Linked DNA regions of Arabidopsis thaliana. The protein of the gene in region 1 interacts with the protein of each later gene in a pairwise test. Each region holds a gene or a part of one and is shown on either strand. Other genes may lie near its edges.

Region 1 (3,757 bases):
GGTTGTCCATGGAAGACCTTGAGCAATGGGGATTCTCATCTTTTCTTCCTCCATTGTTATTTCGTGTATCTTTTTTGCTAACTCTTCCTCTTTCACTTTACCTCTTTGCTGCAGAGAGACAAAAGACCAACCAACTGTCATGACTCAATTTCCACCATAAAATTCGAAATTTTTCTTTAGTTTTAATCTAAAGAAACTCATACCTCAGTTCTAAGCTTAAACGGCTTCAATGAAGTGACCTTAACCTGCTTCTTCTTTGATCTTCTACTTCCCATTGTAGTCGATGACTCCATGCTCTGCCATAAACAGAAATATCAAAATGATTATTAAACTATACTGACATACTAAGCAAGACAGACAACCATTAAACAGCTAAGAAAATTCAGATGCTGCATGCAGGACACTTACATTTCTTCTACTTCTCCTGCCAGCATTTGAACTTCCACTCAAAACACTGAAACATCACAATATCAAACTATTCAGAACAAGACAAGTTCATAATTTCAGTGAGATCTCTTAGTCAACAACAAACTAACCTGCCACGGGTGCTGTCCCAGGACGAAGAAATCGAAGCATTGGGGTCTAAACCCAGATTCTTAGCTGTTAAGACCATTTCAGATGGACAAAACGAAGAACTCCATGGGTTTTTCTCTTTCTCACCCTCCAAGAATTCCAATTTCACAGGTTTCTTCGTATCCTCTTCGGTTTGATTCTCTTCTATCTTGTTGGCAGTCTTTGAATTACTAAAGCAAGTGAGTTTCTCAAATGCTTCTACAAGATTCATCACTTTACCAGATACAGGCACACTTTGCCGTGCTTCTTCCACCACCTTAGCTCTTGATCTCTTCATTGTGGAAACGCCTGTTTTCTCCGGTTCTCCAGATTCTTTTCCTTCTAGTTCATCGCCATTTCCGAGATTACAGCATTCCTCCAAAGCTTCCTTATCCTCCTCTGATTCAATTCGATTTTTGAAGAACTCCTCTTGCGAAGCACGCAGAGTTTCATATGCAACACAAACACACTTCATGTTCCCCTTCTTCCTCTCTCCGCATTTACAATCTATCTCAGCTGCCTTGGATTCTGTAATCGCTGGCTCCTTCTTCCCTTTCCTCGAATTCTTCTTCGCCACCACAACAAACTTCCTCTCTCTGATCCGATTCCGGGGAGAGAAAACCGCCTGGGTAGGTTTAGGGCTCGGACTCGGATTCTTCTGCGCTGATTTCTTCGCAGATTTCATGAGCGGTGATTTAGAAGGACTCGCTTGTGAAATGTTAGGGTTTGCATTCTCCGATGATCTGGAAATCTTTTGATTGGACTGAAACTTGCTCCGATCCTTCACCGGAGTCCCTGCTTTCCCATTCTTCAATGTCAACGACTCCATCGAAGATAACAGAATCTGGAATCAAGAGAGTAACACGAACAGTAATCGATCTAGATTTGAGAATCTCTCCAACAAAAAAAAAATTGATCGGAGGTGAAGAATTAGGGTTTGTTCTTGCTATGGAGTATTGTAAATCGAATAAGAAGATAGATTTGGGGGAAAAATGTGACCGTTGCGGCGCTCTTTGGACGCTCTCTAATAACGGCTAGTCTTTTTGGTGCTTTTTTAATAAATAAACTTAGATTAGTAATAAATAATTATTTTCCTAATCTTGTCCGTTAGATTGTCAAATTAATGATTATGATGATTTTAATCCACGTTTAATGCCACGTCACATCCGAATTTCAACACTTTAGCAGCGAGTTATTTTGTACAATCTTAGCCATTAGATCAAATAGATGCTGGAGCCGATATGATCCACGTTGTACTCCATGTCACATCAAATTTTCAGACAATAATTCTTATTTATCTAATATCAACCGTTGGATTAAATGATCAGATACTGACGTGTCCACGTATACTGCCACGTCACCTATAATTTCCCACTCTTTTCCTTTTTTTGGGAACTTCCTTCATTCACAAACGAGTTATCATTTCGTAGCCAATTAAGTTTCATCATCATATTTAATCACCAAAAATATAATTCGCATCGTCGTTCTGTTCTCTTGAGTCACTAATGGACCAAAGATCATTAGAAGCTGCTGCTAAATCTGGAAACATCGATCTACTATACGAACTAATCCATGAAGATCCATACGTTCTTGATAAAACCGACCACGTGCCCTTCGTTAATACTCCTCTCCATGTGGCAGCCGTCAATGGAAAAACAGAGTTTGCCATGGAAATGATGAACTTGAAACCATCTTTTGCTCGGAAACTTAACGCCGACGGACTTACACCGTTACACCTCGCCGTGGAACACGGTCACTTCTGGTTAGTACTTGAAGTAGTTAAGGTTGATCCAAGTCTTGTTCGTATTAAAGGGAGACATGGTACGTACACTCACTTATTTTGTTGAACCCTTAATTATGTTTCTTAGTTTTTTCCAAAAGCTTTAGCTCTAATCAATCCGAACTAATGTTATAATATGTATCTAGTAAATTCAAATCTTGGAGATAGTATTGAAGTAGGACGAACAGTCCATTGAATACTAGTTTGAATTCAGTCTATTGTTGCTTTTGACTAGTCATTATGTCGATATTGTATGGTCAGATCATGAACTAGATTGGTTATACCAGGAGTGTTTAATTCATTTTTCTTGTCCAAAAAAGGTATGACGCCATTGCTAGTTGCGGTAAGTAGAAAGAAGATTGATCTGATGTCAGAATTCTTCTTGGGTTGTCCCGAAAGCATTGTGGACGCAAATGTGAACGGAGAAAACGCTCTTCACATCGCCGTGAATAACTACGACCAAAGAGAAGGATTAAGCGTTCTTAAAGTTCTCATGGGATGGATCTTAAGATTGTGTCAAAAAGATGCAGAGTGGATCGAGACAAGAGTCATAAACCGAAGAGACAAAGACGGTAACACGCCTTTACATCTCGCGGCGTACGAGATCAATCGTCAAGCTATGAAATTGTTGTTAGAGAGCTCCAAGATTAACGTCAACATTGAGAACAAGAACGGTTTAACCGTGTTCGACATTGCTGTGTTACACAATAACAGAGAGATAGAGAGAATGGTTAAGAGACATGGTGGAAAACGTTCGGTTTCTCTTGTCAAGATTAAGACAACATCGGATATACTCGCGTCGCAGCTTTCTTGGAGAGAATCGAGACGGACGAAGAAGATTCGGTTTTATTCTTGGATCTCTGAAGAGAGAAGAAACGCTCTTTTAGTGGTCGCAACTCTCATCGTCACAGCTACATATCAGACGGTTCTCCAACCTCCCGGAGGCGTGTCTGATGGCGGTGGTCAAAAGAGTGGAACAAGCGGTCCGAAAGCGGGTTCAGTGGTTATGGACGAGGTCTACTTTATCTGGTTATGGTTGTGGAACAGTGCGGGGTTCTGCTTTGCGATTGAGATGATGATACGTTTGTTGAGTTTAGGACAAGAGAGTATGTTTTGGTATTACCCTCTGTTCGTTCCTATGGTCTTGGCTTACTCTGTTGCAGGGGATGTGATCAAGCCGAACGCAAGAGCGTACACGATCGCAGGTGTGGGTGCGATCGTGGTTCTTATAATTTGGGGATTGGTAGTTTGGTTTTGGGAATGGGTGCAGTCTAAGAGAACCAAGCAACGTGGACCCAAGAGTGGATTGGTTTGGGAAGGTTTCACTACGTTGGATCAAGCTAGAGGTGTTGCGCCTAATCGGTATGTGATTAGGTAATCTTAATTTCCTCTTGTTATTTTATTGTTGCTTTTGTATTTTTATTC
Region 2 (3,356 bases), on another chromosome or scaffold:
GTGCCAGATTTTTAGATATATTACTAAGGCAACAATCTTTGGTTGCTCAAGCAAATACTCAGCTTAAAATTCTGTATATCGTCATATTTTTGGGTGTAAAAGAATACTTCCTAAAGCCAGTTACGATTCTTCTGCTAATAGTCAATTGCAAATGTATTTTCACTACTGCTGTTCTTTATTGCTTTAAAGCAAGCTTATTGATGAAGTCATGTGAGGTTGCATAAGTCTCATTTCCATAGTTTTGGGGTAAATTTATAACTTTCTCAACTTACCGAACGATAGTGAAAAACAAATACATAGCACAATGGTTACAATAATCATGTGTTGTGATTACAATTTACAAATTTACAAGAATCATATCAAATAAGATTTTTTAAAAATTTACAAATGTGAGCTCAAGACTTTTAAGTGTTAAAGATAAGTTAAGGGCTGAAAACTAAAACATGTAGGAATAAGAGGACTGTTTGGTAAACGTTTTAACGTTTAAAGTCTTGCCTTTTGATATCAGATTTTTCTCAGGTTCCCACGCGCCGCCGCGAAACAGCTAGACGGAGAAATCCAAAATTCGGCGAAGGTTTGAGAAGAGAGAAATCTGAGAGATGCAAGGAGTGTGGAGCCAACTATGGAGGAAATATGCTGATTATAAGTACAATAAGTTCGAGAGATTTGCTGTTTGGGAAATGATCGAACCTTACCGTCGACCAAAAACCTTCACAACTTTGATTACTATCTATGTCGCCGCCTTTTACACCGGCGTCATCGGCGCTGCAGTTACAGAGCAGCTCTACAAGGTCAGCTTCGTATTGTTATCGATTCAGGCCCGGAATTGCTATTAGATTTGTGGGTTCTAATTTGATTCTCGTGATTGGTAAATGTTAGGGTTCGAAATGTGATAAAATTGGAAATGATTCATTGTTGATTACTAATAAAGGATTGTGTGATCATGAAAAGAACTATACTTGAATTGCTTTTCATGGGAATGGTTCATTAGGTCTTTCAATGAAGCTTTTACGTCTTGATTAGTATCTAATCTAATTCATTGTTCTGTAGTATATTGTATTCTTTGTCAATGTGTTTCTTACACTGTTTTGTGTTAGTATCAGTTATGTTTCTTGTTTGAGTGTGAACTTTATGTTACTCCACTCTCTGTAAACAGGAGAAGTTTTGGGAAGAGCACCCAGGGAAAACAGTGCCTCTGATGAAGCCAGTATTCTATCGAGGACCATGGAGAGTTTATCGTGGTGAGGCTATTGCTTCAGATGCTAGCAGCCAGTGAAGCTAACGATTAGGCTATCAGAGACTATGGTGAAGGATGTATCTCCGACTTTGATACGCAGATATAAATGGATTTATACTGGTTCACTAGTATATGTATATCAAAAAACTTCTTTTGGTTCAGTAGAATGTTTGTGTCTGTATTTCGAGTCTAATGACTCTCTTAAGAATCTATTTTCTAGAAATTACATGTAATGACAGTCTCGTTATAGTATAAGGATTTGATTTGAGAAGTTTAAGGGTATCCATTCATTCCTTTGAATATCTCTGCTTGTATCTGCCTCTCTTCTGGTGTCCTGAAATAAAACATTCCCAAATAAGATAGATGATCTAACTACCTCAGAAACATTGAGCCAACACAGATTTTTCTCTTCAAATTAGGTTGCTTCACATTCTTTAGTCCATATAGATTCCTCTGGGGACGTACTCTGTTTCTTTCCTTCCTTTTTTTTTTTGTTTGTTGCTTGTGAAAGAATATGACAACCTATGGCACTATACCATCCCAAGAAAATGCTTCGTCGAGCCTGAGCTTATTAGGACGAGCCAAAGAATTGATCTCGTTAGGTCTTAGCTCTCAAAGGCCATGGCTTGAACTTGTCCAATGTAGTGCCTTTAGCCTTCCTATCTCCTTTAGCGTTGCCACTGAACGAATCAAATCCAACATCATGATCTTTCGAACCAACTACATTGTTATCTTCATTGTTAGTATCTTCATCAGCATGCTTTGGCAACCCGTCCACCTTTCCGTCTTTGTTATCTTGATAGTAGCATGGCTATATGTCTACTCCCGTGATAATGAACCATGGGTGATATTTGGCAGTGTGATCGATGATTCTACTTTGGTGCTGGTTTTGTTGGTCCTCACGATCGGTATATTTCTACTAACAGATGTATCCCGCGGTATTGTGATCGGGGTTTTGGCTGGTTTGCCCGTTGTTCTGGTTCATGGCATGTGTAGGAGGAATACAGAGATGTTGTTCGTCTTGGAAGATGATGAAGAGAAAGTGGCAATGAACACATCATCTTCGTCACTTTCTTCTTCCTCTTAAGTCTTCACAATTGAGCACAAGATTTTCAGTTTTTCTTTCCTGAATTTGTCTACATAGTTCAAAACAACGCATATCCAGTGAAGGAACGTTAACATGCTGCAAAAAGAACTTGAGCTCTTTTGCGATCAAAATTCAGGATGTGGATATTGATGTACTGATGCATGTCAGAGACCTTGGTGACAAATAAAAGGCAATTTTGCGTGCTGATTAAAAACATTATCCTATGATAGAATTCCTATCTAATTATCTCCAACAAGCCAATACAATAACGAAGACAAGTGTGATCCTCTTCTCAGTTATCACTTATTACAAATTATCCAATCGATTCTCTCATTTTCAACAATTACGAATTGAAAGGTTGTAACTTTATATGAACAATGATCTAGTTTTTAATTTTATCACAACAATTATCAAGTTCAAATGCAATAGGGATTTGGCTATATATACCATTTTACTTTTTAGACACGACATGAAGAAGTAGTTAGACCATCTCCAACAAAGAGAACCCCAAAAAATTCTCAAATAAAAAAAATATTAATATTTTACTATAATTTGATTATACAATTAAATTTTTATTTTAGTAAAAAAATTAGATAATTGTAAAAGAGATAAGTGTTTAAAAGGAACTCTCTAAAATATCTGAGGTGGTTTAGACGTCTCGCTAATATCAACCGGCCTAGTCCCAGAGTGAATACAATATTTTTACATTTGGTAAATGTTAAGCAAAACCAACTAAGACTTATTCCTAATAAACATATTTAATTTATTTATTTCAAAGAGATAATTACATAGGTTTATATTGTCTATGAAGAATTATTTTGTTTATAATTTTTTTAATATGTTATAGTGTTCTAGAATTACCAAAATATAAAGTTTGTTAATCATGTTTAATTTAAAGCAAAAAAAGAAGATAAAACATAAGAAAAACAAAAGCAAACTACAAGCAAAATATATATAAATTTTCAAGATTTCTCCTTATTCCTCCAAACTCTATGCATTTTAAAATAGTTGGTTTGAGGATGTATTGTTTAT

The links. Proteins that work in one complex are often made in the same cells at the same time.
Region 2: the proteins of AT5G15500 (region 1) and PRA1.C interact in a protein complementation assay, tested with the Arabidopsis thaliana proteins (one large-scale study listed by BioGRID).

What each region holds. Positions count from the first base shown.
Region 1 is NC_003076.8:5,031,744-5,035,500, reverse strand, and holds the start of AT5G15500 (Ankyrin repeat family protein), read left to right. Parts: upstream 1-1,960; 5' UTR 1,961-2,057; coding exon 2,058-2,373; exon of another isoform or gene 2,374-2,652; coding exon 2,653-3,710; 3' UTR 3,711-3,757. Other genes in the region: AT5G15510 (TPX2 (targeting protein for Xklp2) protein family), read right to left, coding at 1-108, 204-296, 409-454, 537-1,381.
Region 2 is NC_003075.7:14,532,415-14,535,770, reverse strand, and holds PRA1.C (prenylated RAB acceptor 1.C), read left to right. Parts: upstream 1-1,697; 5' UTR 1,698-1,751; coding exon 1,752-2,324; 3' UTR 2,325-2,834; downstream 2,835-3,356. Other genes in the region: EMB2752 (embryo defective 2752), read left to right, coding at 600-791, 1,157-1,276; AT4G29654 (Protein kinase superfamily protein), read left to right, coding at 3,317-3,345.